Macaca mulatta: one gene and its partners. The protein of the gene in region 1 interacts with the protein of each later gene in a pairwise test. Links are inferred from orthologs where the notes say so. Each region holds a gene or a part of one and is shown in the gene's direction. Other genes may lie near its edges.

The links.
Region 2: the proteins of TFIP11 (region 1) and KANSL1 interact in binary tests that used the Homo sapiens proteins (3 or more experiments, as listed by UniProt). The two-hybrid records come from large-scale screens. The link is inferred for Macaca mulatta from reciprocal best matches to the Homo sapiens genes TFIP11 and KANSL1.
Region 3: the proteins of TFIP11 (region 1) and FAM13C interact in binary tests that used the Homo sapiens proteins (3 or more experiments, as listed by UniProt). The two-hybrid records come from large-scale screens. The link is inferred for Macaca mulatta from reciprocal best matches to the Homo sapiens genes TFIP11 and FAM13C.
Region 4: the proteins of TFIP11 (region 1) and ZSCAN12 interact in binary tests that used the Homo sapiens proteins (3 or more experiments, as listed by UniProt). The two-hybrid records come from large-scale screens. The link is inferred for Macaca mulatta from reciprocal best matches to the Homo sapiens genes TFIP11 and ZSCAN12.

The regions. Positions count from the first base shown.
Region 1 is NC_133415.1:25,062,731-25,066,372, forward strand, and holds the end of TFIP11 (tuftelin-interacting protein 11), read left to right. Parts: intron 1-119; coding exon 120-262; intron 263-751; coding exon 752-917; intron 918-2,465; exon of another isoform or gene 2,466-2,710; coding exon 2,711-3,066; 3' UTR 3,067-3,142; downstream 3,143-3,642. Other genes in the region: SRRD (SRR1-like protein), read right to left, coding at 3,409-3,618. UniProt on the Homo sapiens protein: Involved in pre-mRNA splicing, specifically in spliceosome disassembly during late-stage splicing events. Intron turnover seems to proceed through reactions in two lariat-intron associated complexes termed Intron Large (IL) and Intron Small (IS).
Region 2 is NC_133421.1:70,930,607-70,933,124, reverse strand, and holds the end of KANSL1 (KAT8 regulatory NSL complex subunit 1), read left to right. Parts: intron 1-222; coding exon 223-450; 3' UTR 451-2,018; downstream 2,019-2,518. UniProt on the Homo sapiens protein: Non-catalytic component of the NSL histone acetyltransferase complex, a multiprotein complex that mediates histone H4 acetylation at 'Lys-5'- and 'Lys-8' (H4K5ac and H4K8ac) at transcription start sites and promotes transcription initiation.
Region 3 is NC_133414.1:90,577,646-90,580,138, forward strand, and holds the end of FAM13C (protein FAM13C), read left to right. Parts: intron 1-188; coding exon 189-312; 3' UTR 313-1,993; downstream 1,994-2,493. Other genes in the region: PHYHIPL (phytanoyl-CoA hydroxylase-interacting protein-like), read right to left, coding at 2,326-2,493.
Region 4 is NC_133409.1:154,952,451-154,955,950, forward strand, and holds part of ZSCAN12 (zinc finger and SCAN domain-containing protein 12), read left to right. Parts: intron 1-31; coding exon of another isoform or gene 32-65; coding exon 66-210; intron 211-1,691; coding exon 1,692-2,980; 3' UTR 2,981-3,500. UniProt on the Homo sapiens protein: May be involved in transcriptional regulation.

The DNA.
Region 1 (3,642 bases):
ACCCAGGAGGTGGAGGTTGTTGTGACCTGAGAGGAAAACGGACATTATCTTTGCTCTTTGTGCTTCTGTGGCTTTGCCAGTACTAAAGCTGTGCCTTATAGACCGGGTTTCTCTTCCAGGGATGTGTCTTGGTGAGCTAGTCATTAACCCCCACCAGCAGCACATGGATGCATTCTATTGGGTGATCGACTGGGAAGGGATGATCTCTGTCTCTAGTCTGGTGGGACTTCTTGAAAAGCACTTCTTCCCCAAGTGGCTTCAGGTACACTGTTTTGCTTGGCTTTCTGGGGGAGGGAACTGAGTGGGGATTAAGTTAATTTTCTGCCGAGGCCTGACTGTAGGTACAATTCCATAATAAAAATGAATTACATGGTAGGGTAGGAATGAGTTAGGTCATCTTAATAGTGGCCACCATTTATTGGACATTTGCTACGTATCAGAAGCTGTTCCAAGCACTTTATTTGCTTTATCTCAGCTCCTCGCAGCAACCCTATGGGGTAGGGGCTATGGTATCCCTGTCGTGTAGACATGGAAGCGGAGCTCAGAGAGTTTACATGCAAGGGCACTTTAGCTACCAGGCTGACTCCAAAATCCATATTCGTAAGTCCTAGACTGTTTAGCTACTATAAATCCCTGTAAAGTGGTGTCACTAGCCTGCAGGACCAGGATCAAAACAAAACAAATGGCCCCTTCGGAAATCTTGCCTTCATTTGTTGCCACCATGGATGCAAGTAATTTTTCTTTTTGGCAGGTGCTGTGCTCTTGGCTCAGTAACAGCCCAAATTATGAGGAGATCACCAAGTGGTACCTGGGTTGGAAGTCTATGTTCTCAGACCAAGTGCTGGCACATCCATCTGTCAAGGACAAATTTAACGAGGCACTTGATATCATGAACCGGGCGGTGTCCTCCAATGTTGGTAAGTGAGGATTCCCATTTTGGATGTCCTGGCCCTGAGTTTCAGATTTTACACATGTAAATGACACAGAATCAGAGTTTTCTGGTTCCTGTAGGCAGCCTAAACCTTAGGTCGCACTTTTGCCCATAGCAACAGACTCTCACCCTGCTGATTGGGGTACATGGTCAGCTGGCACCCACTGCCCAGGTCTACCATGACTGAGAGGGGCATCTTCCCTAAGGAGACTGACTTAAGCTGGATTCAGATGTCAGTCTAACCCCAGGCCCCGCCCTCTTAACCACTGTGCTGTGTGGCCTTTTAAGGCTCATTCAGCCCTGAACCCGCTGCCCAGGTCACACATCTTACAGTGTGGAGTTGGGTACACGGTCTTACACTTGGTGATTGCTCAGCCTTCATCAGCCCCATTTGACCTGTTAAACAGTAAGATCTACTTCATAGGCTAAAAGGGGGATTGAGTTCATGCTTGTTTGCAGCCTTCAATAGGTGGTGTCTGTGTTGTCAAAAACCGGCAGTTCACTCTTCATGTACTATATCTATTCCCAAGTTCTAGGCAAGTCATTCTGCCTAGATCATAAGTAAATGAAAGTATGTTTATGTTTCTACATTTGGGAGCCTATTTCAACCAGTCGTGTGCTCCAGTGTTGCTCATTAGCCGATTCACAGCATTGAAATGGGATCATCTAGTCTGTTTCACAGATAAGCCCAGTGAGGCTAAGAGCCTGTTCAAGGTCACATAGTTAAAGGGTGGCAGTTAGAACTAGAATTTCTATTTCCTGAGTCTTTAATTCTTGTTATTTAATAGTTAGCCTAGGCCAGGCGCCGTGGCTCATGCCTCTAATCCCAACACTATGGCAGGCCGAGGCGGGTCAATCACGAGGTCAGGAGTTTGAGACCAGCCTGAACAACATGGTGAAACCCCATCTGTACTAAAAATGCAGAAATTAGCCGGGCGTGGTGGCACATGCCTGTAACACCAGCTACTCAGGAGGCTGAGGCAGAAGAATCACTTGAACCTGGGAGGCGGAGGTTGTAGTGAGTGGTGGAGATCACAAGCACTGCATTCCAGCCTAGGCGACAAGAGAGAGACTCGGTCTCAAAAAAAAAAAAAAAAAAAAAGAAAAGAAAAGAAAAAAAGAAAAAATAGCCTATTCTGTGAAAACAGAGATTAAGTAATAAGGCAAATATACTTCTCTGCTTCCGTAATTATCAAGTTCTTTCTAAAAACTCTTCCTTAGCTACCCCTGGCCTCATGTTTCCAAAACTCTTCCCTGTATATACCCCTCAGTGAGCACTTAGCATTTATGGTCTTGTATTATCCTTAAACACCAATTTCAGCTCCTCAAATATACGTGAACTCCTTTCAGGATGTGGGGCCTGTGTGGGTAGGTTAAAAATAAAGCCAGTGTGGGCCTATATTTTCAAGGTACTAAAAGCTGCCTCTTTGGTGGTATGAAGTGGAAACTCTACAGGGCAAGGTGGAAACAGGAGAGTGGCTGAGGACTCTGCTGTTTCCAGCTCTGAAAGAAGAAATCCCTTGCAGATACTTCATTTTTAAATGTTGAATATTTAATAATCTCTTTGGTTACTAGATACTAGCCAGAAACCTTCTGAACAGTTTTTATGTGATACTGGCCAGTTGTCTAAACTTCCTCCAAAGTTGTATCTTTGAGGCAGAACTGCCCTTCAGTGAGTCACAAACACTCTGGCACACCCAGACCTGGGCCAAGTCAGCGTCAACTTCCATACACCTGGAAACACCTCTCCTCACTGCCCTGTCCTCCTGTATCTCTCAGGTGCCTACATGCAGCCAGGCGCGCGGGAGAACATTGCCTATCTCACCCACACGGAGCGGAGGAAGGACTTCCAGTACGAGGCCATGCAGGAGAGGCGGGAGGCTGAGAACATGGCCCAGAGGGGCATTGGCGTGGCCGCCAGCTCTGTGCCCATGAACTTTAAGGACCTCATTGAGACCAAGGCTGAGGAGCACAACATTGTCTTCATGCCCGTCATTGGGAAGCGACACGAAGGGAAGCAGCTCTACACCTTTGGCCGCATTGTGATCTACATCGACCGGGGAGTGGTCTTTGTCCAGGGCGAGAAGACATGGGTGCCCACCTCACTGCAGAGCCTGATCGACATGGCCAAGTGAACTGTGGCAGGCCCAGAGCCAGCCAGAGACTTGCCCCTGAGAGGGATGTGTTGTGAATAAACGGTATTTTAGATCACCTTCAAAAGCGTAACTTCTTTACTCGGGAGCTACTCCACATTGGGCCAGGTCACGAGGGAAGCATGTAAAGCGGGACAATGCCACTTAGCAGTGCAGGAATCTTTATACCAAGTCCTCATGGGGGGTATTGTCCTCAAAACAAGACAGCCAAGTTGATGTTCTTTCCTGGCAAAGGAGTTCTCTGTAGTTCCTCCATGGCAGCCTTCCCTTTAGTCTCCGGTGGCAGCTTCTACCTCAGCCAACACTGAGTACCTCACAGTGAGTTCAGTCAGTAGTGGAAGGATCTTCTGTCTTGTTCCTGATGATTTCAAGGTCCTCACAGTCCTGATAATCTGGTTCTTCCTGAAACTCCCAAATATCTGTGGAGAGCTGTTCTAGCTTTTGCATGGGGAACCAGTGGACAGAGGTGTCATTAAATATGTCCATGTATTGTGAAGTCTGAGGAAACTCAAGCTCCTCCAGTCCTTTTAAAATCTGAGCAGAAAAATTCAAGTGTGA
Region 2 (2,518 bases), on another chromosome or scaffold:
ACTTAAATTGACCTCCTCAACATTCAGTGGAACTATATTTATCTTTGCTAAATGGTCAGTACGGTTGTCTGGGTACACCCTAGGAGGGGTGTTCCTGGACTGTCCCAGGAACGCTAGATAGACTGGTCCTAGTCTCCGGCCACAAGGTTTGTGGCAGGGCCTTGGAGCAGGAAGCAGGCTGGCTGGGTCTGGGTCCTCACAGAGCAACTTGTCTGCCTACAGTCTGTCCAGCCCTGGGAGCGGCGGACCTTCCCCCTGGCGCACAGTCCCCAGGCGGAGTGTGAGGACCAGCTGGATGCACAGGAGCGAGCAGCCCGCTGCACTCGACGCACCTCAGGCAGCAAGACTGGCCGGGAGACAGAGGCGGCACCCACCTCGCCTCCCACTGTCCCCCTCAAGAGTCGGCATCTGGTGGCAGCAGCCACAGCTCAGCGCCCAACTCACAGATGAGCGGGAGACAAGAATCTAAACAGACTCACTAACTATTGGCATTAAAGCTTCAGAAATCTCTGCGTTTGATATTCAAACATCATATGCCGGAAATTTTCACAGTTTTTAGTGAACTTAAGGAATTTAGATCCTACTTTGGTATTTTTTTCTCTCGTTTTAATTTTTGTTTTTTGTTTCCATGTTTTCTTGTCACACACCTGAGCACTTCCTCCCGTTGGCAAACAGAAGTTCAGGATGAGACCCTGCTGGCCTGGTCCTGGCACATCCTCTGCACTGTTGAATCACTGGACTTACCAATCTTAGATGACCACACCCCCTCCCTCACACCTGTGGGCAGGGCAGAACAGCCTGGCGGGCAGAGGGCTCCAGTTGAGCATGGCCTTCTCGGGCTAGGGTGGAATGGGGCAGGGTGCTCTGGGCTCTTACCCCTTCCCCTCCCATCTGTGGCTGGGCTCAGCTGTGGCCCTCCTGGCTGGGTCCCCCCTTGGTTTTTCGTGCTGGAACATCCCCACCAGAGCCTCTCTGCCGTAACTGCCAGCTGCTCTCACCAAGTGCTCAGCCGGCAGAACAGCTTTCCCTTCTCACCCAGAACTTAGAGACCTATTTTTTGTTTCATCTGCATTTGGTCTTCTCTGTTTTGACTCTTTAACTGCAGTAACCTGGCTGTGGCTGCTCAGGTTCCCTTCATCATGCCCCTTGGTACCCTTCCCTGTCCGTTCTCCAATGCCACATACACACCCACAACCCGTCCTTCCACTCGGAATGTTTTTTTTACCACCTATCCTGATCTCTGAAGGTAGGGTTAGGACTACTTAACCTCTGTTCCCACTCCCCTGCAAACGGGGTTGTGGGAAGTGAGCAGCCATCTCCCTGTGTGATTTTTTTTTTTTTCTCTGATTCGCTTTGCCATGTTTCCTTCACATCCAGATCCCTGTCGGTGTTAGTTCCACTCTTGGTCTTTCACGCTCCCCTTGCCTGTGGAACATTGTCTGGTCCTAGCTGTGGTTCCCATTGTTCCCCCTTCACCCTTCTCTGTTAACCTTGTGCCTGTCTCCTGTATGATCACATCACCAAAAAGGGGGAGGGGGGAGAAGACTTTTTTTTTGGCCATTTTGTAATCGTATAAAAATAGTAGACAACTGCTTAATGGTTGGGGTTTTTTCACAATTTTCAACATTAGTGATTTTTTTTTTCTGTTTGCAAGTTAAAGGGTTTGTCATTGTTTCTTTAAAGAAAAAATACAATAATGCACCATATCCCTATGCATAAAGTGCTTCTTCTATTTATAAGGTTGAAAATTCTGAATAACCCTTTTAGCATTGAAAAAAAAAAAACAAAAACAAAAAATGAAAAAAAAAAAAAACTTGTATTTTGTAAATATTTTCTTTTCCTGCTTTGGAGCTGTGTAATGGCAGCGAAACATGTAGCTGTCTTTGTTCTATAGAAATGCTTTTCTTCAGAGAAGCTGATCTTTGTTAATGTCTTGATTCTGTTCGCAAAGCACAGACTAGTGCTTAAAAAAAAAAGAAGGAAAAATTGAAAAAAATAAAAAAAAAAAAGTTACAGAATGCTGTGTACCAGGCCTTTCTTGACTTACTGAACTGTGTATGTATGGTAGTGTTGGCAGCTTCGGAGCTGGCTGGCTGGTGCCATTCTTTGAGGTACTCTAACTTGCTCTATACCTTGGGAAATCTCCATTCTGTCTTGTGGGAATGCCGCAGGTTCATCTGATGGCCACCAGAGAGACAATGGTGGTGGCTTTTCACTGAGGGTAAGGGCTGCCAGGAGGTGAGGGGATCTGTATTGATCGTCTCCTTTTTCTTTTTGTTGAGTGAAAGCAGTTGATCCACTTTCTCTCTAGTGAAGTCAGCTGTATGATATTTTCTCTCCGTTCTACATTGCTCTTTAAAGGAGATTTTGCTTCTCACCGTTAAATTTTTCTGAGGTTTGGTGGGGGTCAGTGAGATAGATAATTTGCATAGAGCCTGAGTTGGTTCTTGCCTGCTGCCTGAGATTATAGCATCTTTCTTCTGAGGAGGTTACATGCTTTTCTTTTTTTATTTTTTGA
Region 3 (2,493 bases), on another chromosome or scaffold:
CTGTTATTTAGAAGTTTAGTAACACATGGAAGAAGGAGTGAATGAAGGTGAAAGGGAAGGAAAAGAAGACATGATGCAAAAACCAAGTGGAAGCTGTCACAGTATACTTTCTCATGTATGAATTATAAAAGAATATTTAATAATGACTTGATTCATTGTGAACTAATAAATGTATTTTTGTTTTGCAGAAGTCCACAAAAGGAAGATAGGATACCAATGGCAGATGAGTATTACGAATATAAGCACATAAAAGCCAAACTGAGACTATTAGAGGTCCTCATCAGCAAGCAAGATGTGGCCAAAACTATTTGAGGTTCGGGAAATGTTATGATCACTTTCACCCATGATATAAAGTAAAGTTTATTTTCCTCTGCCATCCTTGCTAAGTAGTTTTGACACAATGAAAATGGAAGCACTTTAGTGGTAGTATTAGCTGTTTTCAAGAAGGAATAGCAAGTTTAATTATATACAAGGAGAAGGGATTTAAATGGGGGGAAGGATACAACAGGTAGCCTTATAATTGGGAAAAAATTCAGTGTCCTCCATGCCAAGCAGAAAACTCATAGTCAATACAAGTATTTTAAAAAATGTCTAATATTTTATCAAATCTAAATAACATAGCTAGGATGCTTGTTAGGGAAAGTTTATTTAGTATCCAAAGATTGTTTATGTTGATGTATGGAAAAGAGCATGATTTTTAAAAATCAATCAGAGGAGGAAAAGAAATTCTGCTTTTCAAGTAGGAAGGAATGTACCTAGCAAGAAAGTAATTTATTTGAAACTTCTAATGGATTTTTGAGTGATAAAACATTTACTACCTTGTCCTTTAAGTCTGCTAGGCTCTCAGTACCCTAAAATAACCTAGATTGTGTTACTGCTATTTTTTTTATTTCTCTATAAAAATAACACATTATTTTATCTGGTATTTGAAATTTTACATTTCTGGTTACCAAAGTTCATTCTGATAGCATGTACTTTGTGAATTATTATCTTTGTCTATAACTGACAGATGTTTATATTAAAATAAAATATTGTATTAAAAATTTAAAATAGGTATTTTGGATAGATATGTGTCTGCAGTATATAATCTAATATGTCCATAGTATTATTGCTAATCTTTTTGTTTACTATAAGATGATATAACTATTTTTTCATTGGGAATATACATTTTTCTTAATGTTCCAACATCTATACTTTGTAAAGTCAAAACATTTCCCATGAGCTGTAGTTATTCTTCCTTCTGTACAAAATGAAAGGTTTGGAAATTGCCCTGATACCTTGAAAAAGAAGCCAGAATATTTATTTGCTTCATCAACTTTAGTGTATATCATTTTGTGTTATTTTATACTAAAACATGTTTATTATTTTCATTTTTGTAAAAGGAAGTAAAAGGTCAACATTTTCCCTCATGTACCAACCTTGTTTGTATTTCTATTTTCTGTAACATTTAAGTATGATGTTGAAGAAATTCACATTTTCTTATAGTTTGGATGGGAAGACTATTGACTATTTCAGAAACAGACTATTTCAGAGGCTTATTGTTTTCTCTGTATTTACCTAATATTTTATAACTTTTATGAATCAGAATAATGTCCTTCATACATTTGTTTAATTGAAGTCATCTACTTGTAACAGGACAGATACACAACTATTTGAGGTTTACAAATTACATCTTTGATAAGGGAAATGGTTTCGTGACATGTACACAATTGCTATTAAAATGTAACTCTATATATTCTATATGATTGTAAATATTTTATACAACAATACAAATAAAATATTTTTCTATTATATTTATTATGTTGAAACACAGTAGTTGTTTCCTGTTAGCTAATATAAATAACATAAATAACACTGTCAAACAAGAAGTTGGAAGTGCTGACAATTCTAGGCTTCAAGATTTAACTCATGCTGCAATTACACCCTTTCATGCGGTTTGGAGTTATCCCAATATTTGTTCAGTAGATTAAAATGAATGCATATTTAAACACCATTTATAAGCCATTATTGTGTACTTTGCTAAAGCGGTCTATATAACTGTTTTGTTATGTTTGGCATAAAGGAAACATAAAAACATTGCAGCATCTAGGCAATAAAGTGTCAGAAGGAGAACTTAGGGTATTTCATCATTGAAAGTAGTGGGAGGGGTAGGGAATAGGAAAACACTAAAATGGCTCTGAATGGAATTTGGAAAGTGGTAGTTCGTTTTTGGTGACAGTGGCATGTGCATGCTTCAGTGGAAAACATCTGGTGATGAAAAGGGACAACAGGACCAATGCTCCTAATGGAGGAAAAGGGGCTGAGTAAGAATAAGAAAAGTGGGCATTAACGTCCAACACTGATATTACAGGTTTTGCAGCTGGGATCTTTCTTTGCATTTGCCGTAGACAAACTCATGAGCTGATGACCAGTGATTTCTGCCACGGTGCCCAGAGAAAGATCCACAGGGTCAGTGTAAATGACTTCTAAAATGACATCCTGGGCATGGTGGTA
Region 4 (3,500 bases), on another chromosome or scaffold:
CAAATGTATACTTTTTGTTTTCTGTTATCAGAGTGAGTCTGTCAGCTACATCTCATTTTCCTCAGGTCTCAGCCCACACTGGGGAACATGAAATGTTCTTGCAGAAGATGGTACCTCTAGGAAAAGAAGGAGAACCCAGTATGCCCCTCCAGTCCATGAAAGCCCAGCTAAAGTATGAATCTCCAGAACTTGAATCCCAACAGGAGCAAGGTAAAGAAGAAAGATCCATCTTGGGAGGAAGGGGAAGATGGGTAACATAGGACACTGGGGCTTTTTTGTACTTGCTACTGTTTCTGATCATTAAAGTCAAAAAGGCCCTCTCTGAATCTGATGGCTCATACATAGACTCTCAGATGGCCTGGTTTGTCACTCTTCAACCCTTACTTTCTTGTATATTCATATTCTTCTAAATTCTGGCTTTAACACTTAATTTAGTCCTTCTGATACATTCTCTCTCTTTATACTGACCTCCTTGCTATTTTTTTCTTTCTTTTTTTTTTTTTTTGAAACGGAGCCTCGCTCTGTTGCCCAGGCTGGAGTGCAGTGGCGCGATCTCGGCTCACTGCAAGCTCCACCTCCCGGGTTCACGCCATTCTCCTGCCTCAGCCTCCCCAGTAGCTGGGACTACAGGCGCCCGCCACCACGTCCGGCTAATTTTTTTGTATTTTTAGTAGAGATGGGGTTTCACCGTGTTAGCCAGGATGGTCTCAATCTCCTGACCTTGTGATCCGCCTGCCTTGGTCTCCCAAAGTGCTGGGATTACAGGCGTGAGCCACCGCACCCGGCCTACCTCCTTGCTATTTTTAGCTTTTATCCTATCAGACAATACCTCTATCTTCCACTTGCACTATATCCTTTCTGCTTCATTAAATAAGACTTTGCTCCATTATTTCTGCAACCAACTTTCAGATGGTTCAAGAAAAAAAAAATTGTATACTTACAAAGAAAAGGAATAACAGGCTGGGTGTGGTGGCTCACACCTGTAATCCCAACACTTTGGGAGGCCAAAATGGGTAGATCACGAGGTCAGGAGTTCGAGACCAGCCTGACCAACATGGTGAAACCCTGTGTCTACTAAAAATACAAACATTCGCTGGGTGTGGTGGCACATGCCTGTAATCCCAGCTACTTAGGAGGCTGAGGCAGGCGAATCGCTTGAACCCAGGAGGCGGAGGTCGCAGTGAGCTGACATCACGCCACTGCACTCCAGCCTGAACGATAAAGCAAGACTCTGTCTCAAAAAAAAAAAAAAAAAAGAAAAAATAATAAAACAAATGTTACAAAATATTAAAAGTTCATGAATGTGTGAAAGATCCACTACCTTATTTCTGCTTTCTCTGCATCTGTTTCATTTTCATTTAATTTTTTAAGTAGGTAAAAATGTACATGGCTCAAAAACAAAATGTTTTAAAGTTATTTAATGAAAAGTTTCTATTCCACTTGATTTTCCCAGCCACCTAGTCTCTTCCTCCTACTCTGAAATAGGCTGTAACTGTTACTAATTTTTTGTGTGTCCTTCCAGATATTTTTTGATGCATATATGTTTTCCATATTGAAACAAATATATTTTCCTCTCTTTATCACTAAGATGGTAGAGTCTTGCATTTTTAATTTCCTAACAGCTGCTTAATATTAAAATGTATGGATACATTTTAAAGGTACAAAAGGTAACATTTATGATCCCTTCTTAGTTTTAGATGTTGAGACTGGAAATGAGTATGGAAATTTAAAGCAAGAAGTTTCTGAAGAAATGAAACCACATGGGAATACATCCAGTAAATTTGAAAATGATATGTCCCAGTCTGCTAAGTGTGGAGAAACTCATGAACCTGAAGAAATAACAGAAGAGCCCTCTGCATGCTCCAGAGAAGATAAACAACCTACCTGTGATGAAAATGGAGTAAGCCTGACTGAGAACTCTGACCATACTGAGCATCAGAGAATCTGTCCAGGAGAAAAATCTTATGGATGTGATGACTGTGGAAAAGCTTTTAGTCAGCACTCACACCTCACAGAACATCAGAGGATCCATACTGGAGACAGACCCTACAAATGCGAAGAATGTGGAAAAGCTTTCCGTGGGAGAACTGTGCTTATTCGACACAAAATAATACACACTGGAGAGAAACCATATAAGTGTAATGAGTGTGGCAAAGCCTTTGGCCGGTGGTCAGCTCTTAACCAACATCAGAGACTTCACACAGGAGAAAAACACTATCACTGTAATGACTGTGGCAAAGCCTTTAGTCAGAAAGCAGGCCTCTTTCACCACATCAAGATCCACACAAGAGACAAACCTTATCAGTGTACTCAGTGTAATAAAAGTTTTAGTCGGCGTTCCATACTTACTCAGCATCAAGGAGTTCATACCGGCGCGAAGCCCTATGAGTGCAATGAGTGTGGAAAAGCCTTTGTTTATAACTCATCCCTTGTTTCCCATCAGGAAATCCACCACAAAGAAAAATGCTATCAGTGTAAGGAATGTGGGAAATCCTTCAGTCAGAGTGGCCTTATTCAGCATCAGAGAATTCACACTGGGGAAAAACCCTACAAATGTGAGGTATGTGAAAAAGCCTTTATTCAAAGGACAAGTCTTACAGAACATCAGCGAATTCACACTGGAGAAAGACCCTATAAATGTGATAAGTGTGGGAAGGCATTTACTCAAAGATCGGTCCTCACGGAACATCAGAGAATTCACACTGGAGAAAGGCCCTACAAGTGTGATGAGTGTGGGAATGCCTTCCGAGGAATCACCAGCCTCATTCAGCATCAGAGAATCCACACTGGGGAGAAGCCCTACCAATGTGATGAGTGTGGAAAAGCCTTCAGACAGAGGTCAGATCTTAGTAAACACCAGAGCATCCATAATAGAGGTGGTCCCTATGTATGTAAAGAGTGTGGGAAATCATTCAGGCAGAACTCAGCTCTTACTCAACATCAGACTATCCACAAAGGAGAAAAATCTGTTTCTGTGTGATGACTACAGGGAAGTTATCTCACAGAGTTCAGGCCGGTGAGAAATACTATTTAGCTTTACAATTATTGGGGTAAAACTTCAGTCACCATTGTTACAGGGAAACCTCAGATATTTAATAAGAATTCAGTACGTGCTGCCCATTGTATTAGGTGCTGTGGAGAACAAGAAGATAACCCCAAACTCTTTTCTCAGAGAGTTTATAGCCTAGTTTGGGATAGATAAGATCCACATATTTAGTTAAATAAGACTACAGGAGAGTAGAATAGATGCACAAGTCGGTGTTGAATAAAAGTGGTACTTTGTAGCCTGTAAGTGCTGTAAATTCTAAAGGACAGGTTACTTTTGCCTGGAGTGGTGAAGAAAGATTTTATTTAAAATAAGGATTTGATGGACAGACTTAGCAGTCACAAGGGAGAAAATGGGTAAAACAAATGTAAGCCAACTTAAGAGTGCATGTGGTTTGGAAGCATCAGGGAAAAAACTAGCCAACCTGAAGTAAAAGGTTCATGCAAATTGGGCA